Linked DNA regions of Sus scrofa. The protein of the gene in region 1 interacts with the protein of each later gene in a biochemical or structural test. Links are inferred from orthologs where the notes say so. Each region holds a gene or a part of one and is shown in the gene's direction. Other genes may lie near its edges. The genes, in order: CTNNB1, AXIN1, HNF4A, MAGI3, ERBIN, TAX1BP3 and NEK2.

Evidence for each region.
Region 2: the proteins of CTNNB1 (region 1) and AXIN1 form a complex in vitro, tested with the Homo sapiens proteins (2 studies listed by BioGRID). The link is inferred for Sus scrofa from reciprocal best matches to the Homo sapiens genes CTNNB1 and AXIN1.
Region 3: the proteins of CTNNB1 (region 1) and HNF4A form a complex in vitro, tested with the Homo sapiens proteins (2 studies listed by BioGRID). The link is inferred for Sus scrofa from reciprocal best matches to the Homo sapiens genes CTNNB1 and HNF4A.
Region 4: the proteins of CTNNB1 (region 1) and MAGI3 form a complex in vitro, tested with the Homo sapiens proteins (2 studies listed by BioGRID and IntAct, with this or other methods). The link is inferred for Sus scrofa from reciprocal best matches to the Homo sapiens genes CTNNB1 and MAGI3.
Region 5: the proteins of CTNNB1 (region 1) and ERBIN interact in a test that uses a peptide from one of them, tested with the Homo sapiens proteins (2 studies listed by BioGRID and IntAct). The link is inferred for Sus scrofa from reciprocal best matches to the Homo sapiens genes CTNNB1 and ERBIN.
Region 6: the proteins of CTNNB1 (region 1) and TAX1BP3 are reported together in a solved structure, tested with the Homo sapiens proteins (2 studies listed by BioGRID and IntAct, with this or other methods). The link is inferred for Sus scrofa from reciprocal best matches to the Homo sapiens genes CTNNB1 and TAX1BP3.
Region 7: the proteins of CTNNB1 (region 1) and NEK2 form a complex in vitro, tested with the Homo sapiens proteins (2 studies listed by BioGRID, with this or other methods). The link is inferred for Sus scrofa from reciprocal best matches to the Homo sapiens genes CTNNB1 and NEK2.

The regions. Positions count from the first base shown.
Region 1 is NC_010455.5:25,191,406-25,195,411, forward strand, and holds part of CTNNB1 (catenin beta-1), read left to right. Parts: intron 1-2,714; exon of another isoform or gene 2,715-2,720; 5' UTR 2,721-2,772; coding exon 2,773-2,785; intron 2,786-3,225; coding exon 3,226-3,453; intron 3,454-3,661; coding exon 3,662-3,915; intron 3,916-4,006. UniProt on the Homo sapiens protein: Key downstream component of the canonical Wnt signaling pathway.
Region 2 is NC_010445.4:41,347,634-41,351,639, forward strand, and holds part of AXIN1 (axin-1), read left to right. Parts: exon of another isoform or gene 1-483; 5' UTR 484-565; coding exon 566-1,446; intron 1,447-4,006. UniProt on the Homo sapiens protein: Component of the beta-catenin destruction complex required for regulating CTNNB1 levels through phosphorylation and ubiquitination, and modulating Wnt-signaling.
Region 3 is NC_010459.5:46,823,470-46,827,475, forward strand, and holds part of HNF4A (hepatocyte nuclear factor 4-alpha), read left to right. Parts: intron 1-1,468; coding exon 1,469-1,643; intron 1,644-2,738; coding exon 2,739-2,833; intron 2,834-4,006. UniProt on the Homo sapiens protein: Transcriptional regulator which controls the expression of hepatic genes during the transition of endodermal cells to hepatic progenitor cells, facilitating the recruitment of RNA pol II to the promoters of target genes. Activates the transcription of CYP2C38.
Region 4 is NC_010446.5:106,920,990-106,924,995, reverse strand, and holds part of MAGI3 (membrane-associated guanylate kinase, WW and PDZ domain-containing protein 3), read left to right. Parts: intron 1-657; coding exon 658-1,263; intron 1,264-2,496; coding exon 2,497-2,528; intron 2,529-4,006.
Region 5 is NC_010458.4:44,414,381-44,419,108, forward strand, and holds the start of ERBIN (erbin), read left to right. Parts: upstream 1-1,608; 5' UTR 1,609-1,746; intron 1,747-4,728. UniProt on the Homo sapiens protein: Acts as an adapter for the receptor ERBB2, in epithelia. By binding the unphosphorylated 'Tyr-1248' of receptor ERBB2, it may contribute to stabilize this unphosphorylated state.
Region 6 is NC_010454.4:49,755,777-49,760,452, reverse strand, and holds the start of TAX1BP3 (tax1-binding protein 3), read left to right. Parts: upstream 1-1,426; 5' UTR 1,427-1,541; coding exon 1,542-1,580; intron 1,581-4,427; coding exon 4,428-4,547; intron 4,548-4,676. Other genes in the region: EMC6 (ER membrane protein complex subunit 6), read right to left, coding at 574-906. UniProt on the Homo sapiens protein: May regulate a number of protein-protein interactions by competing for PDZ domain binding sites. Binds CTNNB1 and may thereby act as an inhibitor of the Wnt signaling pathway. Competes with LIN7A for KCNJ4 binding, and thereby promotes KCNJ4 internalization.
Region 7 is NC_010451.4:131,556,675-131,561,164, forward strand, and holds the end of NEK2 (serine/threonine-protein kinase Nek2), read left to right. Parts: intron 1-2,272; coding exon of another isoform or gene 2,273-2,379; exon of another isoform or gene 2,380-2,380; intron 2,381-2,991; coding exon 2,992-3,218; 3' UTR 3,219-3,853; downstream 3,854-4,490. UniProt on the Homo sapiens protein: Protein kinase which is involved in the control of centrosome separation and bipolar spindle formation in mitotic cells and chromatin condensation in meiotic cells.

The DNA.
Region 1 (4,006 bases):
TACACCACAGCTCACGGCAACGCCGGATCGTTAACCCACCGAGCAAGGGCAGGGACCGAACCCGCAACCTCATGGTTCCTAGTCGGATTCGTTAACCACTGCGCCACGACGGGAACTCCTATCCTGATTTTTAAGTTCTGTTTCTCTGGAGTGTGGTTTTCCTGGCAAGCCTTAGCTGATTAGGAGCTCTAGGCCCTTAATGATTGGCAGGGGAAATGGAGGGGGGCCAACCCATGGCCTGAAAGCTCTGCCCAGAGGAAGAATGAAGAAAGCTTTCCTTTGAGGTGAGATTCTGCCCTGGTTCTCCGGACAGCATACTCAATTTCTTTAGTAAGTAATTATCAGATTTAAGGTAAATCTGGATTTGTCTTCAGAACAGCGCAGGGGTAGGTTGGTATATGCTTCTGCTTAGGTATATCCATTTTCTTTTTTTTCTTTGGTCTTTCTAGGGCCGCACCTACAGCATATGAAGTTTCCTAGGCTAGGGGTCGAATCAGAGTTATAGCTGCTGGCCTACGTCATAGCCACAGCAACGCCAGATCCGAGCCGCATCTGTGACCTATACCACAGCTCATGGCAACACTGGATTCTTGACCCACTGAGTGAGCAAGGCCAAGGATTGAACCTCATTCTCATTAATGCTAGTCAGATTCGTTTCCACTGAGCCACAATGGAAACTTCGGTAGATCCATTTTCATTCTTACTTTTTCTTCTTTACCTGCTGATTGACATTTACCTTCTGTCACTTCAGAGGGTTGCTGTGAAGAGCACGGATAATTTTTTTGTATGTTGCATAATGTTGTATAAATTTGAAAGTACTATAAAAATAATATTAAGAGGTCCCCAACATTCAAATAGATATTTTAACTTTTGAACATTAATTTGCTTTATTCCATGAAATCATAAATCATGGTCAAATTACTAGCTCAGCCCACCTAAATTTTCTCCAGTAATAACGTGGTTAATATGTTTTGCCTTTGTATCAACAAGGAAAAAATGCTATAAATGTTATTTTCCTTGATGCCAGCATGTTTTAACACAGCTGCATAGCCTATAGATGTGACTAGTAGGTTTCTGAGCTCTATGGCATTGGCCAGAGGAGTTCACTGTAGAACACTTAATTCCCCTTCCCAGGAGCATATTGTGAGCTGGAGTGGGGAATCCATTTTTCAGAGGGGTAGAGAAATGGTTAAATAGCCAGTCACAAAGATAGTCTAAAGATAAAGGCTAAAATACAGCCTCAGTGGACAGAGAACCTGGGTTCCTTCCATCAGTTTTTCTCAAAGTGTGGTCTGAAGATCACTTTCTGCATCCTATAATGTTCATTAAAGTGCAGGTTTCTACGCTCCACTCCCGTCCTGTTGAATGGAAGCATTAAACACATAATCCTATGTCGTACCAGATTTTAAAATAGAAGTTTCTTCTTGACAGGAATTATCGTTATTATTTTCTGCCTTAGAAGTAAATTGTCAGTTGTTCTTACTGTGGACACATAGCATCCACAACTTTTGTGGGATTTCCCATGTGGCTCACAACACAGCTCTTGTGAGCTTTAGGTGTCAAGTGGTCTTTGTGGTTGTAAAAACTTAGTTTTAGAAGAGCAATTCCAGAAATAATAAACACAGGCTTCCTTTACATAGAGGAAAAGGACTTCAGAGTAGTTTCTAGTTGCATGAAACATAATTAAATTTTTGCACATTGATAGAAAACACAGTTCACACTTAAATATCTTAGTCCATATCTTTCCACATTGGTAATCTACATCTAATATTTAATTTGTAGTGCAAGATGAACTTGTTTAGGGGGCAGACTTTGTAATAAAGGAAATTTTGTTATTAGGAATATCTAGACACCGTGAACCCTTTAAATGGTTTCATTTGCCGATAGCTCCCTGTGTAATTCATTGTTTTCCTGAATTTTCTTGGACACAGTAAAGCCAAAATGCAGACATATAGATGCTTTTCTATACACACACACACAAACACACACACACACGTAAATGATTTTACATTGATCAAAGCATTCTATTTAGTAATACTTGTATTTGTAATAAATTATGCTATAAATTTGAACTTGAAAAACTTAACTAAAAACGGTACTTTTAGTTTGTGTCGCAAACTTTCACTTGAAAAGGTAATTTTACTTATTAAAAAATCTCCAGTTCTGATCCAGTCACCAAAATCTGTTTTATAACGGTATTTTGGATGTCACTGTATTATATCAGAAAAGAAAACAATAACAGTTGACTCATTTAATGAAAATTTGGTGTTTTTAAAATCCCATTGGACCTGTATTGTCTGAAGAAGACCTATGAATTTTTCCAGTGAAAGAAGTTAAAAAGGGAGAGGGGAGGACTTTGGAACTCAAGGAGGAGGTGATTTGGAGTAGTTTTTTCTCCTCTCTGGCTTTCATTACTACAGTGTCTGTGTTTTCTTTGACGTCTTCAATAGTTGGGCTTTTTGACATCTTGTATGTTTGTAATTTGTATTTCTACTGAAAAGAAGTGCTTATTAATGAGAGGTTTTCTCTTAAAAGTTCAGCAATGATAGAGCTGTAGTTGAGGTGTGTGGAGGAGACCATGAGGTGTGTGTTTCACTATATCACATGGTAAAAGAGGACTTGGGGCTTTTTGTGGATGTGGTGCGTGATGTTTAGTGGCTTAATGAGTGTTAAAATCAAACTAATTTTAAATCCTAATGACCTTTGATTAACTCTTTTAGGATCTCTGAAGTACATACACCATACTACGGCTTTAAATATCCTGCGTGGACAATGGCTACCCAAGGTTTGTATCATAAGCCTTTAGTTACTGAATTGGGGCTCTGCTTCATTGCCATTAACCCAGTCTGGCTCAGATTCCCCTGCTTTCCTCTCTCCCTGCTTACTTGTCAGGCTACCCTTTGCTCCATTTTCTGCTCACTCCTCCTAATGGCTTGGTGAAATAGCAAACAAGCCAGCAGCAGGAATCTAGGCTGGATGAATGCTTCTGGAGCCTGGATGCAGTACCATTCTTCCACTGATGCAGTGAGTAACTGTTAGGTGGTCCCCTAAGAGTATAGATTTTTCATCACTGAGCTGATCCTGGCCATCATTCTGTTTTCCTTGGCTATCTTCAGATTTGACTTTATTTCTAAAAAGATTTCAGTGGGTCCTGTCACAGATTTTTATTTTCAAATTAAGATACCATTTTCCTAGTAGTGATACTAATGCTTTTGATTTTTATAGCTGATTTGATGGAGCTGGACATGGCTATGGAGCCAGACAGAAAAGCGGCTGTTAGTCACTGGCAGCAACAGTCTTACCTGGACTCTGGAATCCATTCTGGTGCCACGACCACAGCTCCTTCTCTAAGTGGTAAAGGCAATCCTGAAGAAGAGGATGTGGATACCACCCAAGTCCTATATGAGTGGGAGCAGGGATTTTCTCAGTCCTTCACTCAAGAACAAGTGGCTGGTAAGAGTATTATTGCCCTACTGAAAGTCAGAATGCAGTTTTGATAATTAAATAGTTATTCTTATGAAAGTTAGCATATAATAGCTTAAATAAAATGGTGTGGTAAAGAAAAGGGAGTGATTGCAATGTCATCATCACCATTTAGGATAGCAAATATTCAGGTGCATGCTGAGCTGTGGATAGTGAGTGTTGAATTTACCTTTTCCAGATATTGATGGACAGTATGCAATGACTCGCGCTCAGAGGGTACGAGCTGCTATGTTCCCTGAGACATTAGATGAGGGCATGCAGATCCCATCTACACAGTTTGACGCTGCTCATCCCACTAATGTCCAGCGTCTGGCTGAACCATCACAGATGCTGAAACATGCAGTTGTAAATTTGATTAACTATCAAGATGATGCAGAACTTGCCACACGTGCAATCCCCGAATTGACAAAATTGCTAAATGATGAAGACCAGGTAAGTAGTGATATGGCTGACTTAATAATCTACTTTGAAGGAAACTCCCAAGGAAGTAGTCTCAAAATGGCTACCCAGTATCAGTCTTTGA
Region 2 (4,006 bases), on another chromosome or scaffold:
TTTCCGTCCCTCTTTGTTCTCGCAGGATGACGCTTGTAGCTAGTGGCATGGGACATTGATCCCTTAGCGCCAGAGGCGTGCCTAGAGCTGTAAAGCTTTCCAGACATTGTTTTCACGTGGTACAAGACCGGTGACAAAGATTGAAAATTTGGGAGTTCCCGCTGTGGCGCAGCACGTTAAGGATCCGGGCTGTCTCTGCGGTGGTGCGAGGTCGCTCCCCGGCCCTGTGCAGTGGGTTCAGTGTCTCGTGTGGCTGCAGCTGGGGCGCAGGTCATAGCTGGGGGCGCGGGGTCAATGCCTGGCCCGGGACCTTCCACAGGCTGTGGGTGTGGCCTCTGGAAAAAAAACAGAGTGAGAATTTAAGCCGAGTCTCTGGCTTTGAGCGGGAGGGCGTCGTTGCGAGGCTTGTCTGAGAAAACCTCTGTGGTCGTGTCTCCATGGCCCCACTGTTCCTAATCCTTGTCCTCTTGATGGTTTCAACAGGCCAGAGTGATTCCCTGGGAGCCGTAAGTACTGATGTATTAGGGTGCAGCGCGCGTTGCGCCTTGACGCACAGCGCCCCAAAATGAATACCCAGGAGCAGGGCTTCCCCTTGGACCTCGGCGCAAGTTTCACCGAAGATGCCCCCCGGCCCCCAGTGCCTGGTGAGGAGGGGGAGCTGGTGTCCACAGACCCCAGGCCCGTCAGCCACAGCTTCTGCTCTGGGAAAGGTGCCGGGATTAAAGGGGAGACTTCGACAGCCACGCCGAGGCGCTCGGACCTGGACCTGGGGTACGAGCCCGAGGGCAGCGCTTCGCCCACCCCGCCGTACTTGAAGTGGGCCGAGTCGCTGCACTCCCTGCTCGACGATCAGGACGGGATAAACCTGTTTCGGACTTTCCTGAGGCAGGAGCACTGCGCTGACCTGCTGGACTTCTGGTTCGCCTGCAGCGGCTTCAGGAAGCTGGAGCCCTGCGACTCGAACGAGGAGAAGAGGCTGAAGCTGGCCCGAGCAATTTACCGCAGGTACATCCTCGACAGCGGTGGCGTCGTGTCCAGGCAGACCAAGCCGGCCACCAAGAGCTTCATCAAGGACTGCATCGCCAAGCAGCAGATCGACCCTGCCATGTTCGACCAGGCGCAGACCGAGGTGCAGTCGAGCATGGAGGCCAACACCTACCCCGCCTTCCTCAAGTCCGACATCTACGCTGAGTGCACGCGCGCGGGCGCCGAGAGCCCCAAGGCCTGTGGCGAGCCGGGCTCCGCGGCAGGCACGGGCAAGGGGGTCCCCGGATACCTGCCCACGCTGAACGAGGACGAGGAGTGGACGTGCGACCGAGGCGCGGACGAGGAGGCCGCCGGAGACCCCGCACCGCCCGGCAGGCTCACGCAGACGCTGCTGCTGCTGGAAACCGCCGCCCCGCGGGCCTGCTCGAGTAGACGGTACAGCGAAGGCAGAGAGTTCAGGTGAGTCCCCCGCGAGGCCGCCGTCCCACGCTCGCCTCCGGGCACTGGAGGACTGGCCTGGGAAAGGGCTGCTCCCTCGGCTCTGGCCCCAGAGCGGCGGGACGCCTGGTGCCGGGGTGCGAGGTCACACGGTGTGCAGAGCCTGGCAGGTGGAGGGTGCTTTTGGCGAGAACAGCCCCAACCCGAGTGGCTTCGGAAGGCGCTGGGAATGTGGGCTGCCTTGGACGCCACGTGGCGTCCAACCCTTAGCAGTCCCGTGTGTGTCCCCTCGCCCAGAGGGGTGTTGACCTGGTGGCCGCGGTCCTTGGGGCTCAGAGAGCGGAGGCCTGGACGTTGAAAGGCGTCGGTGCGTGGAGAATTCCGGGTCGTCCCCCGAGCTTCTTCCTAGAGGTCGGGAAGCGCTGCTGGCGAGGCTGCTGTGCCGCAGGCGGTCCGAGCCCCGTGGGAACTTCCTGTGGCTGCGCTTGTGGGTCTAGGACCACCCCTTTCTCCTGCCCAGACCGGGACTCGGAAGCTGTGGTCATGGTCGTGGCCTGTGGGCACAAAGGCAGCTGGGAGGCCAGGAGCGGTGCCTTTGGCAAGTCGCTGGGACTTTGGAAACCTGTTTCTTGGTTCTCTTTCTTGTGGTTCCTGGCAGTTTGTTTGGTCTCTGGCCGGAGCTTGTGGCCGCCGGTCGCAGCCCTTCCCCTCCCTTCCCCGTCCTGGCCTGCGAGGTGCTGAAAGGCTGGCATTTAATAAAGCGACCCCATGATGCAGGCGAGTCTCCCGGCGCTGGTCTCCCGGACCCCGTCTTCAATCTTCTCGTGGCAGAAAAAGTGGTTACTTGCTAACAAACACAGGGCTAGATGTGCTGAGGGTTGAAATGTTCTCTAAGGGGTGGGAAGCAGACACACTGTCCTAGGTGACTTTCGTTTGCCTTTTTCTCACTGTCTCTCTCTTTTCTTTTTTGGCCTATGAGGTTCTCGGGCCAGGGATCAGATCTGAGCCGTAGCTGCAACCTCAGTTGCCACGGCTGCGGCAGTGCCGGATCCTTAACCCGCTGTGCTGGGCTGGGGGTCGAACCTGCCTCCCAGTGCTCCCAGGATGCAGCTACAGCGGGACCTCCTCATGGTCTTTAAACCTTACGTGGCGCAGTGGTTAACGAATCCGACTAGGAACCATGAGGTTGCGGGTTCGGTCCCTGCCCCTGCTCAGTGGGTTAACGATCCGGCGTTGCCGTGAGCTGTGGTGTAGGTTGCAGATGCGGCTCGGATCCCGAGTTGCTGTGGCTCTGGCGTAGACCGGTGGCTGCAGCTCCGATTCGACCCCTAGCCTGGGAACCTCCATATGCCGCGGGAGCGGCCCAAGAAATAGCAAAAAGACAAAAAAAAAAAAAAAAAAAAAAAAAAAAAGAAAATCTAAATCTAACTTGAGAGTGTTCATATTTGGTCAGGACAGTGTTCTTTTTGTTTGTTCGAAGGACCACACCTGCAGCCTATGGAGGGTCCCAGGCTAGGCGTCGAATCGGAGGTGCAGCTGCCGGCCTACCCCACAGCCCACGGCAACGCCGGATCTTTAACCCACTGAGTGAGGCCTGGGATTGAACCCCCATCCTCATGGATGGATACTAGTCGGGTTTGCTACACTGAGCCACAACGAGAACTCCTCGACTTGATCTTGTGTGGGGCAGGTTTAGGTCACCAGCAGAGTTGAGAGGAAGGTGCCGCAGTTTCCCGCACACTCGTGTCCCCACGTGTGCATGGCTCCCCCGTCACCGGCCTCCCGCAGCAGAGTGGTCATTTGTCTCAGATGCCAAAGCTATGGCATGACCACCCGCCGTCCGTGGTTGCACTCCAGGCCCCTCAGCGGTGGGGTCCGTCCTGTGGGTTTGGACCAAGGTGTGCGACGTGTGTCTGTCGCAGAACTGCATGGGGTGGTCTCGCTCTGCCTCCGCGTCCTTTCCAGCCCCCGCCCCTGCCCCTGTCAGCCCCTGAAGCTTTTGCCATCTTCATGGCTTTGCCTTTTCCGGAAAGCCATGTAGTTGGAGCTGTGCAACGTGCAGCCTGTTCACGCTGGCTTTTCTCTCTCTCTCTCTCTCTTTTTTTTTTTTTTTTTTGTCTTTTTGCCTTTTCTTGGGCCGCTCCCGCGGCATATGGAGGTTCCCAGGCTAAGGGTCGAATCGGAGCTGTAGCCGCCGGCCTACACCAGAGCCACAGCAACTCGGGATCTGAACCATGTCTGCGACCTACACCACAGCCCACGGCAACGCCTGGTCCTTCATCCACTGAGCGAGGCCAGGGATCAAACCCGCAGCCTCATGGTTCCTAGTCGGATGCGTTAACCACTGCGCCATAACGAGAACTCCTAGCTTTTCTCTCTTAATACGCTTTTGCGGTTCCTCGGTGTCTTTTTGTGGCTCCGAAGCTCATTTCTTTTTGGTGCTGAACCGCGTGGGTGGTCTGGCTTATTTACCCACTCGCCTGCTGGAGGACATCCTGATTGCCGTGTTTGACAGTTGTGACGAAAGCTGCAGTAATCACCCGTGTGCAGGGGTTGGTGTGGGCCTGAGTTTTCGTCCCCT
Region 3 (4,006 bases), on another chromosome or scaffold:
GCAGCACCCAGCCTATCCTGCCCAGGATACGGGAGCCCCTTCCCCCAGCCTCTGCCTTAGTTGTGGGGTCAAGCCCTCCCGGGGTTTGGAGGAGGCAAGGCTCAGGGAGAAAGGGCACCAGCACAGCTTAACAATTACCCCCATCTCCAGGAATAATTCACCAAGTGGAGGGGGCCGCGCTCCTGGGCACCCTCGGGAGGCTAGGAGAGGTTCAGCCAGGCCACTGCAGAAATGAGATGTGGCGGGGTGGCTGCTTGCGCATGGAGGCTGGACGTCATCTGCCCCCGGCGTTGGAAAAGTTTACATTTCACAAATGCCCATACGTGCCAAGCGCTTCCCACAGACTGATTCACTGAATCTTCATAACAGCCCTAGGGATTATTTCGTTTCCCATTTTATAAGTGAGGAAATGAAGATGTGGAGAGGTAAACTAACACGGCCAAGGCCACACGGCTAAGAAGAGGGTGAGCTGGGATTTCGCCCTGGCAAAGGGCTACGGAGTTTGGGCTCTGACCTACAGCCCTGTTCCCCTCTCCACTTCTCAGCTAGATGTTCCCTAGGAATTCAAGGTCGGATGCAGAGTTTCTATGACATTGCGTGTGTGTTTTTGACTTTGTGTGGTTTGTGTACGCGGGCATTTTTCCGGGAAGATGGTTCATAGTGTTTGTCATCTTCCTTGGCAGAAGATTCGCTTACAAAAAAGAGGGTTTGGCTGCTGAAAATTCTTTAAGAGTTGAAAAATAAATTGGACCAGTCAAACTGCCCTCTTTTATAGTTAGGGAGACTGAGGCCCAGGGGAAATTGAAACAAGGAAAAGGAACTGGCCCAAGGTGACAGGAGAGTTAGTGGCAGCACTAGCAGCCAGGACCCCAGCCACCTGTCTCTTCTCCCCCTCCTCACATTTATATGGATGCAGCAGCTTTTACCGTGATGCCCAGATCCTTGACATGATCCTCCCAGGAGGACAAAGAAGCCATTGTCCTTGATGTATGTCTTTCTGTTCCCTGGGGGAGTTTGCAGGCCCCTGGGTGCCAAGCTGAGACCCACCCAGTCCTGGTCACCCAGAGAGGCTCTGGGCAGATGCTGGGGGAACACAGCCCCCTCCCCACAGCCCCCTCCGCCCTGTCAATCGGGGTCTATAAGGGTTGGATGCATCCTAGGAGCCAGCCAGGTGTTTGTCACTTCCCAGAGAAAGCTGGGGCTAGAGGTCTCTGCCATGGAGAAGAGCAGACCCGCATAACAACGCTGCAAAGTCAATGTCACAACCATCCATAAGTTACAGATGCAAAATGGAGGTTCCAAAATGCTCTGGGGCTCGCCCGAGGTCTTTGAGGGAATAGGAGCAGCATGTGGGTCTAGCTGAGGCTGAAGCCCTGGGGAGACCCCCACGATGCGGCAAGAGAGCAAGGCCTCCAGGAGGTGACGTGCTGCTCCTCCTGCGTCCTCACTCTTTTCTTTTCTGGTACAGACACATCCCCATCAGAAGGTGCCAACCTCAATGCGCCCAACAGCCTGGGTGTCAGCGCCTTGTGTGCCATCTGTGGGGACCGGGCCACAGGCAAACACTACGGGGCCTCGAGCTGTGACGGCTGCAAGGGCTTCTTTCGGAGGAGTGTGAGGAAGAACCACATGTACTCCTGCAGGTGAGGACCCTCGATTTCTCCAGCTGGGAAACGGGCATATTTGGGCTGATGTCCCCCAGGGTCTGTCTTCTCCCTGCCCAGGTCCCAGAGGCATCCGCCTTTCAAGGCCTTCAAGCCTCTTCTGATTGCTTAGTTCTTGCAGACCCAGACGGGAATGTCTACTCTAGAAACCTCATTTACTGATCATAACGCTATCAACTGCCTTTTACTGAGCACTTACTATGTGCTAGGCATCATATTAAGTCTTTGCGGGTGCTAATTATTCCCATCAGTTCCCCATTATTTTTCCTCATTTAGCAAACTGGGACCCCTGAAGCTTAGGATCAAGCCTCCTCTGAGGCCTCAGAGGATGAGGCCCGTCCCCCAACCTGGGGTTTTTTCTGGGGCAAAGAGGGCACTGATCCCAGGTCTTCCCACCTCTCTCAAGACCCTGGAGCTCTCTCTTCGAGAGCATCTCTCATTCTAGGTGACACGATAATAAAATAACAGCAGCTGTCAGTTATGAGCACTTACTATGAACGATACTCTGCCAAGGCCCAGTTGGGTGTGATCCCATTTTCACCAGTCAACACCCCTCTGCCCTGGTTACCATTGTTCTTCTCATCTTATAGATGAGGAAGTCGTGGCTTGGAGGGATTAGGAATGTGCCCAAGGTCACCCAGCTTGAATCAATGGCAGGGCCTGGGTGGACTCCCCATCCCTAACCACTGTGGGTCCTGCCTCTACTTCTCAACCCCCTCCAGAAAGCAGCTTATGTGGACCGAGTATTGATTCTGATCCATAACCAGGAGCTCACTCTGGGCGGTTATGGGATGTAGTGGAAACAGCAGTGCCCTGGACTTGCAGCTGAGTGATCTGAGGCCATTGTCACCTCTCTGAGCCTCAGTTTCTCTGTTTAGTGGGGCAGGGTTGAACTCCTGGCGTGCACAGGGCCTTTCCAGCTCCTGGTTGGTTAGCATAAGAACTCCTGGGATGATGGGTTTGGGCAAGGAGGCAGGGGGGCAGGGGGCTCAAGGAGCCAACCAGGATTCTAGCTCAGTCCTGGGAGAGGGAGGGTGGTCCCTTCTCCAACCAACCATCCAAAGCCCTCCCCAGATTTAGTCGGCAGTGCGTGGTGGACAAAGACAAGAGGAACCAGTGCCGCTACTGCAGGCTCAAGAAGTGCTTCCGGGCTGGCATGAAGAAGGAAGGTGAGCCTCGGCCCTCCCCCGTCCACCCCGCTGCCCCACCCGCGCCCGCAAACTCCTGACAGCCATTTACAACAGCGACTACAATTTTATGACTTGGTGACAGGCCCCAGGACACTGGCTAATGGCTGAGAGGAGGGAGGGCCTGAAAGTCTGACCATAGGGAGGGGCTGGGCTTGGTCTTGAGAAAGATTCCAAGAGATAAGCTCCCACTTTCAGCTACTCAGGTTCCCAGCGCCACCACCCCTGCCTGCCGTCACCGCCACGAGGCAACTGAGCTGGGGGTTTTTTCTTAATGCACTATTTCCACCATCAGGAAAAGTGTGAAGAACAGGGTTATAAACATCCATGGACCCACCACCCAGAGTCAGCAAATGTGAATGGGGGCAGGGTGCGGGCACTGTTCCTGAGCCTCCTGTCCCGGGAACAGGCACCCCAGTTCCTCAGTCTTCGTTCTTGGGTATCAGGTGATCCAGGGTTCTCACATTTCAGGGAATGGGAACAAGGTACCAGACTCTCCCTGGGTGCAGTGGGGACAGTGGGGTACATCATTTATTCGGGTCTCTCCCGGCCTCCTGCCACCAGCAGACACTGATTACCTGGCTGGGCTTTCCATTCTTATGACAACTCTGTGTGGCTGGCACATTATCAACTCCCCTACCCCCCTTTTCATGGACGAGGGAACGGAGGTCCAAGATGGCTCAGCAACTTTCCCAAGGCCCCACAGCTGCTCAAAACAAGCTTCCAGGTTTGAACCCAGAGCTCTGGATTCAAATTCACTGCTGTTTGGACAATACCTCGGTGTGGTCTCCGAGGCCCTCCAGACCCCAAGAACATTTAAAAGTTTTTCAGCCCAAGCTCGGGAAGTAAACGTCTTTTAACTGTTTCTCTGAGTAACCTGAGCGCGCTTTCAAATCTCTGTCTCCTCTGCTCCACTCGGCTTTCCCAGCCCTGGGACTGGCCTCCAGACCTTCACTTCCAGCCTGCTGCCGTGGCACACCAGCCAAAACCCTTGGTCTAGTTCTGTACAAACACACACACACCCCACCCCACCCCACAGCAGGATCCTGAGACCTAGCCTTCCCTGGGACAATTAGAAAGGAGGGGAACTTGGCTTTGGCGGTGTCCCCTCCCTGACTCTACCTCTGAGCCCCTGTTTTCTCTGCCTCCCTCTCT
Region 4 (4,006 bases), on another chromosome or scaffold:
CTTTTCAATGTCTTAAATAATATGTTGTTTGCTTGCATTGAGCTTTTGTGTTGGTATTTCTCCTTTTGAAAACTGAATTATATTAAATTGAAAATCTTTACAAAAAAGAAGGGTGCTAAAAGAAAATACATTCATAAGTTATTATTCTAATCTTCAGCCATACATTGTTCAATCTAGAATGACTTTTTAAGTACACTGTAATCAGTGCCTGCTTAAAATCAAGAAATAAGGTAGGATTTCAAGATTGCCTGTTTGTGCAAGTAGCCAGTGGAATATTTGCTCCTTTGTTGTGTACTGAATACCTACTATAATGCGCCTAGCTTTGTGTGGCCACTTTGGTATGACTCAAAGGATATACCAACATTGGTAATAGGAGTTTTCAGTTACTTTTTTAAAGATTCACTCGAGCTTGAGGTCGTGATTCTTTGGCACTAAGAAAACTAAGAATGTATGCATTTATATGTTCTTTTCAAAGAGGAGTCACAGAAGGGAGAATGGCATATCTATGTTGAAAAGCTATCTTTTCAGTTGTTAATGTCCAGGAAGAAGTTTCTAGGATCCAAATTTAGATGCTGAATTTCAGTTATTTTTGACTCTTCCAACAACAAAAATTCACTTGATAGTTTTAATATATTAACATGACTTATGTTTTACCAGGTGATGTTATTGTCGACATCAATGGCAACTGTGTCCTTGGTCACACCCATGCAGATGTTGTCCAGATGTTTCAGTTGGTACCCGTCAATCAGTATGTCAACCTCACTTTATGTCGTGGTTATCCACTTCCTGATGACAATGAAGATCCGGTCGTGGACATTGTTGCTGCTACTCCTGTCATCAATGGACAGCCGTTAACGAAGGGAGAGACTTGCATGAGTACTCAGGAGTTTAAGTCAGGAGCCGTGATTCTGGACCAGAATGGCAAATCGGGACACACCTTGATCAGTGATCGTCTCAATGGACCGGTAGATCTGAGTGAGCAGAGAGCATCTATGGCATCATCAGGCAGCTCCCAGCCTGAACTAGTGACTATCCCTCTGATTAAGGGCCCTAAAGGCTTTGGGTTTGCAATTGCTGACAGCCCCACTGGACAGAAGGTGAAAATGATACTGGATAGCCAGTGGTGTCAAGGCCTACAGAAAGGGGATATAATTAAGGAAATTTACCATCAAAATGTGCAGAATTTAACACATCTCCAAGTGGTAGAGGTGCTAAAGCAGTTTCCAGTAGGTGCAGATGTACCATTGCTTATCTTAAGAGGAGGTGAGTAAAAGCACAAAAAGGAAAAAGCTTCATTGTTCGTAGATTTATACCTACTCGCTGTCCTTCCTTACTACAGGTCAGAATCTTTTTTTCCAGCAGGCTTAACTGGTAATTAGTGTGCATTTTCCTTAAGTTCTGCCCGACTGCTTCCATAAGCAGTATCTTTTGCAGCAGTTTTTTTTTCTTTTTTTTTCTTTTTTAGTTATTAGTGGCTTCATTGTGTCCATTATGGGTTTCTTTCCCTCTATATTTTTTTTAAAAATCTAATCTATGACTTTAATGATTAGAGAGAGTCACAGCATTGTGCTTCTTCAGCAAAATATATCTTCTTAATTTCATTTTCTCTGTTGATGGCAATAATAGGAATGGACTCTTTCAACCACTGGTACTTGATCCAGACCTCTGTAATGTACCAAAGATGTTTTGAAAGAGCATAGCATCTCTGTGAATAAGCAAAATGTTGGCTGGCGTGTTAATCTGTTCTGTAAAAGCAATCATGGTAGCTTGTGCTCATAAAACTTTTATCTTAAGCTTTAGTATCTGTTCATAAATGTTAATTAAACCCCACAGTGCTCATATGAGAGAAATACAATTTTATTTTCCCAGGTCATCAGCTGACTTGAACGGCTCCCAGACATCAATCCAGTTCCAAGGACCAATCACAAAGTTGCATTTTAATGGGCTTTCTTAAATCCATACCTGTGAATGACTAACATTTTAAAGAATAAAATTTAGCCCTTCACATGTATCTCTCTGGCTTTTAGTTTTCATTTTTTGAGGCACATGAGCAGTTTAGCTTCATTGGGGCATTTTTCATTATTCTCATTTCTTTGAACCCTTTTTGCTTCTTCTCTGGGTGATACGGTAGAATGCGCTCAGAGTAGGTACAGATCCCTTTGTGAGGGCTGGAGAGTTACCCAGTGTCCCAGAAAAGGTCCGAGTCCAGGGTTTGATGTCAAACAAATTGGGTGTCAATTTCCTGTCTTATTACCTATTAGTTCAGCAGGAGCGGAAAGTGATGTTCATCTATTTGAGTCTTTGTTTTCTTTCTTTATAAAACGGTAGTAACATTTATGCCTTAGGATTGTCCTTAACCCTTGACACGTAGAACACATGTTGGACATAATTGACTCGCCTACTAAAAGTCAAAGCTAGTTTTAGCATAAACATAGCAGTATTTGTGATCTGGCAATGCTTCCTCTGTTTTTAAAATGTGGCTCATTTTTTTTTAAGGTCCTCCATCACCAACTAAAACTGCCAAAATGGTGAGTATACGCAGTGGTCCTCAAATGCTTCTTCTCATCACGGGGAGAGAGATACCACTTTGCCCTCTGTGAGGGCAGCTTGTGGTGGTGGTGATGACAGATGGGGAGGAGGCAGGAGGCGTTCTGCGCCGGGCTTGTATCAGAAACCAGGGAAGCCTGTGAGTTAGAAAAAGCCCCCTAGAGAGAAGACGTGCTCTCCTGGTTGGGTATTTCTGTTGGAAGACTCTCGGAGCCTATACCACCGATAGTCCACCGATAATGCTTTGAAAGAAACTGTGCCTGGTACACATGTGTGCCAACTTAAATATCCACAATTAGATGGATATAAAGACAGTTTTGTATAGAATCCTAAGTTGCTTGATTTGAGGTCTGTCGTCTTTTGTTGAAAGATGGTCTTCCATTACCATAAACCTTAGGCTACTAAACAAAAGGCCATCAGACATAAAATGGGTTAATTCTCTATAGCCCACCAAATAGGATCTGCCACAGATTTGCTGTTTTATGGGTCAAAGGAAAGAAACACTCAGCACTTGTAAAGACTGTCCCACGTAGGTCCAGTGAGCAGAAATTCTCTTGCCTGTTTACTTAAAATTGCACTGTGTTTTTCTCCATTTCTCTGGTCCCCTGGTAACCATTTTTAACTCCTGTGCCACTGTATCTATTTCGTAACAGATGCCAATGCAGACACAGCAACCATGATGCTTTATAATTGCTGAACGTCTCTAATGACCTCTCACTGCTTCTGGCAGTCTTAGGACGTGGACTCTGACTGGGTCCGGGCCAGTGTAGGGGCCTCTTGGACACAGCACTTTGTGGAGGCTGTCCTCTCACTCCTCCCTAACAAGCTGCTGCTACTGCGTCTTTTTTTTTTTTTTTTTTTTTTTTTTTTTTTTTTTTTTTTTTAGGGTCACCCTCGCGGCGCATGGAAGTTCCCAGGCTGGGGGTTGAATCGAAGCTGCAACTGCTGGCCCTCGCCCCAGCCCCAGCCATACAGAATCCAGGCCACATGTGCAACCAACACCACAGCTCACTGCAGCAATGGATCCTTTTTTATCCACTGAGCAAGGCCAGGGTCGAACCCACGTCCTCATGGGTCCTAGTCGGGTTTGTTACCGCTGAGCCACAACAAGAACTCCTGCTCCTGCATTCTAGTCACATTAATTATTTTATCACAAACTTCTGTAATCTCCCTCTCCTAACCATGAATCAGGATAACAAGCTGTTCTCAAAGTATTTTTTTCTTAGGCTATTTATTGAATTTCATTTTTAAAGTTTTATTAGAGAGGTCATTTTGCTGAGCTCTTCTTTTGTGCAAGTTCTATCTAAATGGGAACATGTGAAAATAGGCTACTCTGTTATCCCAAATCTGATTCCCTGGTGTGGGGCAGTTTTTCGTGATACATTTGAATGGGCCACACGGGTTTTCACAGTGACATCTTTATAACCTAAATTAGAGTTAACACTTCCTGTTTCATTTT
Region 5 (4,728 bases), on another chromosome or scaffold:
TGGAGGAGGCCTAGGGACTCTCTTTCTTTTTTTTTTTTTTTTTTTTTTTTTTTTTTTTTTTTTTTTTTTGTCTTTGTCTTTTTGTTGTTGTTGTTGCTATTTCTTGGGCCGCTCCGCGGCATATGGAGGTTCCAGGCTAGGGTTGAATCGGAGCTGTAGCCACCGGCCTACGCCAGAGCCACAGCAACGCGGGATCCGAGCCGCGTCTGCAACCTACACCACAGCTCACGGCAACGCCGGATCGTTAACCCACTGAGCAAGGCAGGGACCGAACCCGCAACCTCATGGTTCCTAGTCGGATTCGTTAACCACTGCGCCACGACGGAAACTCCAAGGACTCTCTTCTTCCAGGCTGGGCGCAGGGCAGCCGGGATCGACTTCGCCCGCATCCCCACCTTGGGCGGCTGGGGAGCAGCACGCAGGCCTCCCGGGCCTGGGCCAGAGCTGGCCTCACGCCGGACCTAGCTCGCGAACCCCCGGCCGCCGGCCCCGCCTCCCGGGCCCCCAAGACTATCACCCCCCGCTGCCGCCGCCGCCCCCCGCCGCCACCGACGTCGGCCCGCACCGCCCCCGCGCGCGGTGACTGGCTCGCGCCGGCCTCCAGCCCGGCTGTTGGAGGTTGGGGCGAAGCGGGCGGGAGGCCGCCCCGCCCCCGCCGCGGAGCCGCCGCCGCGCGCAGCCTCTTCCCCCCTCGCCGCCGGGGCGGTGGCGCTGTTGCCTCCGCGGCCTGTGAGGCAGTAACTCCCCTCCGCCCCAGCCCCCTTCCTCCTCCTTTCTCTCCGCTCCCTCCCTCCCCTCCCCTCCCCTCCCCTCCCCGCCCCTCGCAGTCTCTCGCTCGAGTGAATGTGGCGCGGCGGCGCGGGACGCAGTCTCGGCCCCTGCCGCGGCCCCGCGAGCTTGTGAGGAGACGAAGCCGCCGCCTGCCCCCACCCCCTGCGCTTCCCGGGGGAGCCACCGCCGCCAGGGAAGAAGAACGAGGAGGGGAGCGAGGGGACGGTGGCGGGAAAACAGGAGGGGGAGGAGAAGAGGGCTCGAGGGCAGGGAAGGAAGGCGGGGAGGGACGTACGGAAGGACGGACAGCCCGACGGCCGGCCGGGGGAGGGGGCCGCCATCGAGCCTGCCCGGCCCCTCGGCTCGGGCTCCGGGCGGCCGCGGCTGCGGCCGCGCGGGCGAAGGGCGCGGCAGGCGCTACCGAGACAATAACCCCGCCGCCCGGCTCCGGGGGTGGCGGCGAGGAGGCGGCGGCGGCCTAGCGCGGCAGAGGCTCTCCCAGCGCCCCGGTGGCATCTTTGCCCCCGCGGGCCAGGTTCGCCTGCCGTCGGATATCGGGGCGCGCGGGTCGCCCGGAGTCCCAGGCTCTCGGCTGACGCCCCCTGCCCTCCCCCGCCCGACGCGCGTGGAGCTGGTTTTCCGGGTTCCCCTGGACCGAGCTGGATCCTGCTGCTCGCCAAGGCAGGAAGTGAGTTTCGCACGGTAATTCCGGGCGGTGTCACGAGTGAAAAGTTTTTTTTTCGACGGAGATCCTAGTTGGGGCTGGGAAACTCCTGCAAAACTCGAGACCAGGAAGCCAGCCCGCTTCCCAACCCCCACCGGAGCCACCTACTCTTCCTACTGCGGGAGGCCACTCCACATCCGCTCTCACCGGAGAGAGAAATTCGGCTGGATCCGAAGTGACTAATGAAGGGGAGGAAATCATGTCAGGCGAAGCCTTGAAAAAGCTGTCCTGAGACACTGCCCGACCGAAAGGTAATTTTCACCCAAAGTGTCTGCGAGTCACAAAGCTCCCCGGCCAGGAAAGAGAGGAAACTTTAGTGTTTTCCACTTTTTCTCAAGTTGCCCTAAATTCTCCCTCTCTCCTGTCGGACGGGGTAGTGATTTAGGTGCAAAGCAGTAGAACTGATTTTATTCTCCTTTCTACCATCTGGACCCTGGTCATTTTAGAAGAGGTTGTAAGAATGCGGTGGGACGAAAAGTTTTAAGCAATTCCGAGGAAAGAATGCCTTTGTTCAGCAGAAGGTCCAGAAATCTTAGTTTCCCGGAACATATACAATGTATGTTTTTGATTTATTAAGTTGCTGAACCTGACAACTTTTGTTTTGGATGAAAGTTAGGTCACTGCGGCGAGCAATCGGCTGCTGTTGAGATGGCTGCCACAGTATTTGTTTATACTGTTACCGATTATTTTGCTTTTGCATTTAAATGTATATGGAGTTATTTAGTTCCAACTCTTATGACTGTGTTTCATTGGGTTTTATAAACAAAAAACTCTTTGCCGTTCTTAGTCGTTTTTTCAGGTGGGTAATATATATGTCTTCAGTAACTTGTTCTTTTCGGACATTTATAACTTTATAATACTTGTTTGGTGTTGTCTACAAGCTACTGTCTACAAGATTTTTCTTGTAACTGACCTAGTAGGGAGAAAAAGTGTTACGGCTAAAGAGTGATGATTAAAAAGCAAACATGAATGCCTGTAAGTGGTTTGATTTGTTAGGACTTCTGTGCAATTCGGAACTGAATGTATAGGAAAGGAAGTAAAACGCTTAAAACAGTGTTCATGGGCATCACAGTGATTGTGATAAATAGCTGTGCTTTTTGGTTAGCACATTATTTACATTTTTTTGTTGTTGTTGGCCCAAATGTTTTGACCGGGTCTGCCACCTAATAAGTGATGAGTATCTGCTGTGGGGGCAGGGATTAAGTGAAGCACGGTGACATTCCACCAGTCAGTTATAAATATAAACACTTCTGAACCAGTCGGTAGTCTTTATAGATCAAACTAGTTTTGGTTGCTGCAGACACAGACGGTTTCTTCTGTGGTGTTTTTAATGAGTGTCTTTTTAAGTTTGGTTCCCCCCCCCCCGTGCTTTTTTGGTAAAGGGAGGTAAAAGATAAACTCTGCTCTTGAATAAATGTCAAATAAACGTGGTATTTTGTTTGTAGATATATCTTAAATGTAAATTAATATTTATTTGCCCTTGCCACCACAAGAAAAATGGTTGGCTTTCTTTAGTTCCAAAAAGAGACAAGGTAGGTTTTAAACAGTAGGTTCAAATAATTTCACAACTTTTTCTTTGTTACTTCAAATTAAGTATGTTTCAAAAAGGGGGTCTTTTAACTATTACTATATATTGTTTTGATTTTTTTTTTTCTTGGAGCTTAGTCTCTGGAGCTCCTTTTTAAAAACAATTTTGTAGTTTTTTAAATTGTTGGTAAGATTTTGTGAACCATCAAGTAATTCCTATTAAGTGAAAGTAGCTTTATCAAATAATTTAAAGTATGTAAGTGATCTACTTTATGATTTTAGAACTTAAAATTAGGCAACGAAAGAGGTTATTCTTGGGCATCTGAAAGAGGGGAACAAAATAAATGGCATTGAACTTCGGTTTCCTTATATGGTTTATACTTGGCTTCAGAGCAACAAAGCCTTAATAGAGCAAGTCTTTTATAGAGAATTATCACTTTGCGAAAGTGTTCCTTTCTCTGTGTTAGGAAATTTTACTTGAAAGAAGTATTATAGTCCTCAAAAATACCTATTTAAATGCCTGTTGTTAGATATAGCTCTTGATTTTTTTTCTTGAGGGAGCATAGTATGTATAGATGCAGACAACATGTTTTAAAAGATGTTCACCTTTGTAGTTGTCTTTGATTCCTTTTTCCCCTCAACAAGGCAAAATTTACTTTGAGGTTTATTTATTTTATTAGTTTAGCACTGGATTAACTTAATGAATTTTAGGTTTTATACTGTTGTCAAACTGTAAATATTTTTCAAAGTTTTGTTTAAAATTTGACAGTGGTTTGAAAATAAGTTTAAAAAATGGTCATAAAAATATTTTAAAATGGCTTCAAATTTTGGATATTTTTCTTAGTATTCTGTGGGTTTTTTAGATTAAATTCACAAATCTGGAGTACTTCCAAGGTGTTTGTAGAAAATGCGCACTTGATGGCCCTGTTTGTTAAAGGTACTGGGAGTTTTCAAAAGTGATAAACTTAATCTTTCAACTAATTAATTCAGATATTATGAAGTTTCCCTACTGTTTGTGAACAAATTATTGCCAACTTTTCATGTATAAAAAGCTTACAGAGGTTCCAATATGGGAACCAATTTTTTATTGCTTGTTTTTTCTTCATGAAGCAATAACTACAGTTAGAGACATTTGATGTGTATCATTGGTAAATGTCTAAAACTCAGGTATTTTAGAGATTTTGGTAGTGAGCTCATGGCAGTAAACAGTACCTCACTTTAAGAGACAAGAATTTCAGAAAATTAAGTGCATATTTATGCATTTATTTTAAATTATTGCCTGTAGATAAATATGGTAGTGATTATGAAGTATTTGGGATTCTGTAGGTTTTAGTGATGTTAGATAGGAAAGTATTTTTTTTTTTTTTTTTTTGTAATTTCTAGTTGTCTAGATTCTCTTTAAACAGACTTGGTGCTTGCATTTTTGATTCTTTTCCTTGCTCATCCATTTCTCCATCACATGCCTTGTTTTTCTTCCTGGAAACACATGTAATATAAAGTCCTTAACGATGCCTTTCTTCCCCTGACAATATATGTATTGTACCTGTGTTTGGCTGTTCATAATTTAGTTTTTGAATACATATTTTTTGCTATAGAAAATGTGTGTATAAATTAGACTGTATAATATCTACTTTGGAATTGTCTAAGGAAATAAGCTCAGCATTTCTGCCTTCCCCATTTCTGTAATTTACTCCCCATATATATTT
Region 6 (4,676 bases), on another chromosome or scaffold:
GCTGCAGCTCTGATTCGACCCCTAGCCTGGCAACTTCCATATGCCACAGGTGCGGCCCTAATAAAAGCAAAAAAAAAAAAAAGAAAAAGAAATGAGTGTGAAAGGTGCGCAGTACAATGCCTGGTATATAGAGCACACTTAATAAGTATTGACTGTTATTAGTTCTCGGGATGTTAATAAGTTCTCTTATTTAGGCCTTAGTGACCCCTCTGCGAATAGCCCATGTGTCAATGCAAGGAAATGAAAGAAAGCTAAGGCGCAGTCAGAGAGCTCTCCCAGAGTCAAAACCCGGCGATTCTGCACCCACAGCGGCGGGAGGGGGGGGGGGACGGGGGGACGGGGACGCGGAGCGCGGCGCTTTAAGGTAGGAAAAAAACTCCACAAAGGGTCTCACGCTTCATTTAATCTGAAGAACAGTACAGGCTCTTCGTCTTCAGATATAAATTATTCATAACGTTACAGAACAAGCAGCGAATCCAACAATTTAAAAACTAGGTAAGTCTACACGCTGTTAATTTCCGGCAACCGTCCTCCCAATCTGCTTTTCAAAAAGAAGTCATCCCTGCCCTCCTTTCAGTAGACGTGCACCATGCCGTAGAGGAATGTCCAGAACAGGACGTAGGTGAAGAGGCCTCCAATGAGACCTCCTGTAAAGAGAGGTCTTCGCGACTTAAAATATTTGTTCCACCTCCTTCCCGCCTTGAGAATTAAGAGCAAAGAGAGCAGGATGGAGGCGAGCAGGTAGAAGATGAAACCGTACAGGCCGGTGAGGCCGAGGATGCCGGCCGTGGCCCCCGACAGCGCCGACACCGAGGTCCGGCAGTAATCCAGGACGGCGGCGTTGCCCCGCACAGCGGCCTCACTGATGAACGGCGGCCCTTCCCGCTTGACCACCACAGCGGCCATCGCACCCACCCGGACTCGGCCTCTGCTTTCTCCCGAAGCAACGCGGGGCTGCGGAGAGAACCACGTTACAAGTAGCGCCCAGAGCCTGGCGAGTTGGGTTCACGCCGCCCCTTTCCCTAGGGCTGCCAAGACTTCGCACCACCTCCCCGCCCCCAGCGTCTCGGACCTTCGAAAAACGCTGAGAAAGCTGAGGGTTCGGGACGGCTGGCCGCATAGCTGCATTTCCCGCCTAGACTCGGCCACTTACCTGGAACGCGGCGGCGGAGGTAGTCACTCGACGTTCCCTCAGACAGCCTAGAGCAGGGACTCCCGCGACGCCATCTTGCGCAGAGGATGCTGGGAAGGCCCAGGCTGCGCACGCGCCAAGGCCTCGCTCCCCGCCCCCCCTCCGCCTCTGGCGCACGCACTGAGGACGCCTCAAGCACGCACCACCCACTTCCCCGCTTTTCTACGCACGCACGGGAACTTCCGAGAGCCGGACAGCGCTCCGGCAGGTGATTCGCTGGAGTCTTGTTAACTATTCATAAGGGGGCGGGCTGGGCCGTGCAGCCTTTGTTAACCAGAGAGGGCGCGGCCACCGGGATTCTCGCTGCAGGCTTCGGGGAGCGGCGCTTGGCTTCCAGATTGGGGTCGAGATGTCCTACATTCCGGGCCAGCCGGTCACCGCCGTGGTGGTGAGTGCGCTCGCTCGGGCTCTTCCTAGTTTTGGCTTGCCCCCACTTTGCAGATAGGTAAATTGATACACCAAACAGGTTGACAAAGCGTCGAACCCGGGACTCCTGCAAACCCGCAGCCAGAGCTCCGGTTCCCGCTCTGCGGGACAGGAGCCGTGGTCTTCCCCAGCCAGGCAAGAGGTGGCTGGGACCCACGAGCTTCCTGAAGACCCGGGATCAAGGCCAGATCCTGCTCGCCGCCGCCGCCGCTCTGGACTCTTCTTACTGAGGGAAAAGGCCCCGGCTGTGGGAGTCTAGGAAGCGTCCCCTTCCCAGGCCTGTGTCCCCAGCTGGGTAGCCGCGGGGGGCGGGCGCCGGATCCAAAGTCCATGAGTCGCAGCCTCTGGAATGAGGAAGTGCTTCCTCCGCTCCAGCCGGCGCCGCCGCCCAAGACTTGCGGGTGGAGGTAGCCGGAGCCTGAGTAACAGTCCTACAACCCCTCCCATCTAGCCTTGCCTTCTCGGACGCACAGTCAGTCGGTCCAGAGTGAAGGCTCATACAACTGACTTGATCCCGCTCCGAACTTTCCCTGGATCCCCAAACAACTCTTGGGGCAAAGCCCAGGTCACCCTCCTGGCACTTGGGGCCTGAGGAGACCCTTCGGGGTCGGCTCAGGCCCCTGGTTGCCCTCTTGGTTCATCTTGGGTGCCAAGTGCTATGAGAATAGGCAGAGAAGTTGGGACATTAGACTCAGACGCCAATGTCACAGCTGGATGGGGCCTGGAGACCCATTCCATGGCTGAGGTGGGGAAATTGAGTCCCAGAGAGATGTCTGGCCATGCCCAGCCATGTAAAGAAGGCTTCAAGAAGGACCCAGATCTCTGAGCAGAAATGCCTGCTGGGCAAGGAATGGGTCAGATGGAAGTCGTAGCCCTAAGGGCCCTGCCACTGGCTGCAGTATCCAGATGGGCGTGTTGGGGACTCCAGCAGCCAGGTGGTGTGACCAGGGAGCCACTGATAAAGCTGCCATGTGAGGGTGAGCTTAGCACACCAGCTCAGGCCTGGACTGCTGACAGCTGTCCTCAGCTTCACCCTGGCTGCACCGGCTTGGCTTTTCCAGCCTTCTAGCTGCCCCAGAGAGAAGGGGTCAGGTTTGCTCTTTAGCTAGAAAAAAGGGAGTGCAGGTGGGGAACCAAAGAGGCAGGAGCCTCCCTGACCTCACCCAGGAGGTCAGTGATGGGGCCTTGTCTCCCAGTCCAGACCTTGGAGATGGGTCAGAGGTGTCCCCAGAGGTGGAGCAGGCCTGGAGGAGCTCACACTCTTACACACGAGGACCTAGGTCCTGCAGGCCTCAGGTGTCATGCTTCCTGCTCCCCTTTCTCACATGTCTCTCCTGGCCCCTGGGCCTTCCTCTAAGTTTTAGGACCATGACCCCCTGGTTCTTCTCTAGGAACATGTTTGAATATGGTGGGTGGGGCCTGGCTTCTCCCTCCTGTGTCCTGGATCCGGGATGGGGTGGAAGAGGCTCCTCCCTACCCCAGGCCCTCTCCCACATACTTAACGCTGTGACAGTGTTAAAACCATTTGGCCTCTTCGCTGAACTCTGGGTCCATAGGTTCGTCCACCTTCTGGACACCTACCTGGACAGCTCTTGGTTCTCCAGCTCAACATGCTCCTTCTCTGGGATCCACATCTGGGAGATGGTTGTGTTCAGCCAGGCGGGGCCAGATGGCTGGCTGGGTGCTCCCCTTGCCGCCTCTGCATGATGGGCCATCCGGAGATGTCCCACCTCTGTGAGACATCTGTTGCCTTACTGCCTGGGTGGTCGTTTCAGCATCAAACCTGACCATGATCTACCGTCAGCCCTACTCCCCAACTCCTGGGAGCTCCAGTGGGTCCAAAATCAAGGTCAGGTGGCCAAACTCCTGGTCAGCCCAAGGCCTGGTACAAACGGCCCCTCCTTCATGAAGCCCCTCAGATCCAGATCAGGTCACATGCAGTTGCCTTTTACTTTGTTTTTTCCTTCTTCCTGTTAAAACTCTCAACTTTGGGGGGTGTGGGGTGGTCATCTGGTCTGGAAGGTGCCTGCTGAGGGCTTTGAAAGGAGCCTGGCACCGTTGGGGTCCACAATCTCACCGTGTGGTGAGGGTGCCCTGGGCCCTGCATCCACCTCCTACACTGCACAATAGCAGGGCCCCGGGGCTTAGGGAGATGTCCTGTCCCTTAGGCTGGTCTCCTGGCCCTGCACTCACCAGTCTAATGCATCTCGCCTCAGCCTTACCTCGCCTCCCGGTTCTGGTCCTGTGCCATACACTCCCGTCTCAAGGAAATGTAGCCACAGCACCTTCGAGCCTCTGCTCCTGTTCTCTTGGCCAGGACAGCTCTTCCTCCCTTCTGTGCAAGTCTGATCCCCGCTGTTCTAAAGCATCTCCTGTCTCACCCTCAACAGGGCTGGCTTAGCAATCTGAGCTGGCCTCAGCAAGGTGCCTACATGTTTTGTTCAGAGCTTGACCCCTCTTGCCCCTGTGTTCCCTCCCCTGGGACAAAGACCCCATCCGGAACAGCCACAGCATCCTGGCTCAAGAGCCAGGAGGGGCTTAGTCTGTGTTAAGAAGGCTGGTACCTGTGACGTAGGAAGCTGGGAGAGGTTAGGGAGAAGGGTTGTGTGGGTGGGTTGGTGTGGCTGAGTTCTGAGCCTTAACCCCCCAGCCTCCCAGGCTGGTGAATAGCTGGCTTCCTGCAGGAGATCCTGGGCCCCACCTCTGTGGCATGGCTCCGAGCCTACCCAGCTGCCTGAGGCTGCTGCTGGAGACACAGGCCACATTCTCTACACCCACTCGCCCCCAACTCGTTTTTTATCTTTGCTAGCAAAGAGTTGAAATTCATAAGCTGCGTCAAGGTGAGAACTTAATCCTGGGCTTCAGCATTGGAGGTGGAATTGACCAGGATCCCTCTCAGAATCCTTTCTCAGAAGATAAGACAGACAAGGTGAGGGGGTCTGGGGACCTCTCCGTGGGGCACAGAGGCCTGAGATGGTGGGTCTCTGCTTCCTGGGCCTTTGTGGAAGGAGCTGACCTCATCTCTCGCAAGCAGTCCTCTTTAAAAAGGTCCAAGACA
Region 7 (4,490 bases), on another chromosome or scaffold:
CTTACACAGCCTTCCTAGAAAGTATGGCTTCAAAGGTGTGATAAACCAGCGATAGCAAAGGCCATCCATTTGGGATCTTTATGAGGACTTGTTCCAGCTGAAACGTATGCGTCCAAGTGTGATTGCTTGGGAAGTTCCCTTGTGGCACAGTGGGTTAAGGACCCAGCGTTGTCATTGCAGCGGCTCGGGTTCAGTCCCAGGCCCGGGAACTTCCATGTGCCGTGGGTGCAGCCAATAAAAGAAAAAGCGATTGATTAATATCTACATATGCTTTGTAATAAGTGATAGAAAGAAATGAAATTAGTGATGGCAGTAAATATCTTTTTTTCCCTCATTATTGCTATTTTAACATTTCAATATTTTTATACTTATTTCAGTTTTTCTTCGATTCCACACTGCCATCCATAAAGACAAACTACACTTAAATCATGATCGATAGAGTGAGGGGGGATTTTTAACTGGGTGAGTTGAAGGCATCAAGCTCATTGCCAAGAATCATCAAGGGCGCCGTTGGGGACAGATCTTCCAGTTATAGAGTTTATCGACATCTTGCCCCGAGCGTCTTTGAGCAAAGGGTGAAAAGCTAAGAAGGACGGTGTGTTTCACTCTGTGGGATCCGTGGGTAGAGGAACCTACCTGTATGCGAGTCGCGGCAATTACTGAAAATGAGCTGTAGGGTGGAGCATCCACTGTGGGTAGGAGATATTTTAAAGTACTGAGCACATCCGAGCCCCAGATGAGCAACAAAGCAGTGGGGGGCAGTGTCCTTATGAACTCGGGACAGTTGGGAAGGTCCTCCTCCCCTCCTTGGGTCCTGCAATTCAGACACGAGGAAAACAAATAAACTAAGAGCATCTTTTCTAAAGCTCTCCTTAGTCTATTTAATGAATACTAATTCGTTTCGTTTAATGAAATACTAATTCAAGGAGTTCCTGCTGTAGCAAGAACAGCATCAGCGGTGGTGTCTTGGGAGCGCTGGGATCCAGGTTCGATCCCCGGCCCTGCACAGTGGGTTAAGGATCCGGTGTTGCCACAGCTGTGGCTTAAGTCACAACTGTGGCTGGGATCTGATCCCTGGGCCGGGAGCTCCATGTGTCACAGGGCGGCCAACAACAAAAAAGAAATGCTAACTTTTTTTCTAAACCCTTTTCTTTCTTACAAAACTATCTCAGTAAGATTTACAGTTTATACTGTTGGTTTACAAATGTTCAGGTATTTGAGGTCATAAAGGTGGATCTGTTTGAAACCATAGACTTAGGGCCTAAAAGCCATCTCCTGAAAGGCTGGCGGAGAAGCAGTGTAGGAAGTAGAAGTCAGGCAGGCGAAGGCAGTGTTTCTCTGTGCGGCCCACTCCTGCAGGGCGCCTCCTGTTCTTTGGCCTGGAATGTTCTTCTCCACGTAGTCGGCTGGCTTCTTACTTCCTCCCTCTCCTCAGGTCTCTGCTCAGGAGCCGTCTTACTACGAGGTCTTTTGCATGACTGCAAACAGCCCTGCATCTGTCTCCTTTTCGCCCAGAGCACACATCCCCTCGGAGACTCCTCACATGCACCTGTTTGTTTGTTGTGGTCTCTCTCCTCCCACCACAACAGGGCCTTTGTTTGGTCCCCAGCGGCACGCAGTGAGCTCAGTAAACATTCGACCGTATTTCCTTTACATGAACACAAAGGAAAAACAAAAAGAACCTTTTTGTTCTAGAATTCAAACCTGTCAGTTCCTAATAGTGTAGACACTTGAAGGAAATTCTTTCTTTTTTTTTTTTTTTTTAAATGTTAAAAGTACAATTCACATCTTCACTCACTATTAACTTGATTAACTTTTACTGTGTTGCCTCTGCTTTTACCCTGCCACCCTGGCTTAGGTTCTTTTTGAAACAAGTTTCTGGGCAGTTAAGCCGCTCTAAGTGTTCTTAAGTATTTCGCCAGAACTGTAGGTGCTTTGCTGTAAGGAAGAGCTTCTGCGTCCATGCTTTCCTGGGAGTCATGCGTTGTAGGCAGAAAGGCACTTGTTTTCAAGAATAGAGATAAAGAACATTGCTTTCCAGACGTTTCATACTAGAGACTGTGATCCTCTGTGCATTTAACCTTAACAGGAAGGTTGAGTGTTAGGAGAATAAAACATATGCTCCTCGATTTTTGGCTGCAGATTAAAAGCCTGATTGATTTCTGCCAAACCTATGCCCCTAGCCTGTTACAAAAGAGATAACAGGTCCAAAATGGAGTCAGTTATCACCAAATGTCACCAAACCAAGACTTAATACCTAACTTAATTACAGGTTCTGCCTCTCCCAGGAATGGAATCTTAAAGCAGTCAATCTGGCATGACCTCGTCAGCAGTAGTAAGGTCATCTGCCTGGTAGACACCTGCTGTCCACTGAATTAAGGTGACCTTGCCACGCAGATCTGTTCCCTGCTAGAGTGACTTCCTCATCCCGTCCCCTCTGCCCGTAAAGGTCTTTCATTCTGCACAGCTCCTCAGGGCTTTCTGTCTGGTAGGTAGGATGCTGCCAGCATCGTGAATCGTTGAGCAGGAGTTCCCATCTGGCTCAGTGGTTGACGAGCCCGACTAGGAACCATGGGGTTGTGGGTTTGATCCCTGGCCTTGCTCAGTGGGTTAAAGATCCGGTGTTGCCGTGAGCTGAGGTGTAGGTCGCAGATGTGGCTCGGATCTGGTGTTGCTGTGGCTCTGGCGTAGGCCGGTGGCTACAGCTCTGATTGGACCTCTGGCCTGGGAACCTCCATATGCCGTGGGAGCGGCCCTAGAAATGGCAAAAAAAAAAAAAAAAAAACCAAAAAAATGAATCGTTGAGTAAAACCAGTTAGATCTTGAGTATTTCCTCAGCTGAATTGTCACGCTCTGGTTCCAGAGAGAATAGCCGGTCCCCGGGGTTCACGTGTGAAGCGACAGGGTGACTGTTGCGGTGAGTCTGCCAAGTACGGGGGAGTTGAACTCCTGTTCACGTAACTCAGACCCTCTTCTTTTTCCTCCCTGAAGAGCGTTTTGATCTTCCGACCTCGGGAATGAAGAAGAAGGTTCACTTCAGCGGGGAGAGTAAGGAGAACGTCGCAAGGAGCGAGACTCCTGAGAGTCAGCTCAGCTCCAAATCCAAGTGCAAAGACCTGAAGAGGAGGCTCCATGCTGCTCAGCTGCGGGCGCAGGCCCTGGCAGACATTGAGAAAACGTACCAGCTGAAAAGCAGGCAGATCCTGGGCATGCGCTAGCCTGGCCCAGAGACAGCGAGCGGCGAGCCGGGTCTAACACTGCCCGCCCTTCGAGGCTGGCATTCCCCTGCCGCGGCCTACACGCGTGCTGCCGTGAACCGTGCGTTTTCTGTAGGAAGCCTGATGTTTCGGGGTCGCTTTTGCTGTTCCTCGGCGGCAGGTGTGCCAGCGTCCACCCCGTGCATTTGTCTTTCTTTTTCTAAGAAGGCTTTACAGACAGAATGACTGTCTTGGCCAACTGGGCTTTTCATCCTCTGTGTGATTACTTCTGGAACCTTCGATGTTATATTCTAAGTGTTGGGAATTGGGGGGGATAGTAGGAAAACATCTTTACTCAGGAGCAGTGCTTACTGTGAAGTCTGAAGGACTGAGTGGTGTGCTTTACAGCTGTCCTGTCTAGAGTGAAAATTTAAGTCTGGGTTTTTAAATGTTCTTGAGCTTAGAGAAAACCTGGTCGGCCACTGATACGCTGGCATCTCGCGTGTAAACATCCCGTTGCTCTGGGGCGTGAATCTGTGACCTTCTGTGGAAGAGTTCATCTCTGTGATGTCTGTGTGCTTTTCCCCTTTTTATTCTGTGAATGTCCTGTGCCACCTCTTTCTGACTAAATAAAAGAATTCTTTAGTTTTCCTAGTCTCTGGCATGTGCCCATCTCTTGGTTGGAGGGAGTCTGTGTTTACGGCTCACAGGTTTGGAGGGCAGGCATGAGAACGTTAGCTCCCCAGGGCTGGGGGCACTTTGCTCTGCATCTCATTTGACCGACTAAGCCAGTGGTTCTTTCTGGGGGCAGTTTCCCCCCCCAGGGGATATTTGCAACATCTGGAGACAGTTTTTTTTAATGGTCACAATTGGAGGGAGGGTGCTGCTGGCATCTAGTGGGCAGAGGCCGGGACTGCTGCTAACCCCCTCCCCCCGCCCCCCGTGGTGCACAGGACAGTCCCAGGACTAAATGCCAACAGGGCCACGCGTGGGAACCCTGATCTAAGCTAAAGCTTGCTGGAGTTTGAAGGGAACTTGTTTTGGCTTTGGTGGATTTTTTTTAATATGTCTGACTTGTGATATGAATCAGCAGTCCTCGCGGTGCCCATCACATTTTTCATGTGATGTTTTCCTGGCAATGCTAATCCTTTTATCGAAAGAAGACCAAGTTCTGAAGGGTTTTAATAAACAGGAACAGCTCCTTTAGTAGCTGGTTTTGAAACGCTTTATTGACGTCTAGTTGACTCGCAACGTCGTGATCATGGCTGCTGTACAACAGAGTGACTCAGTTGT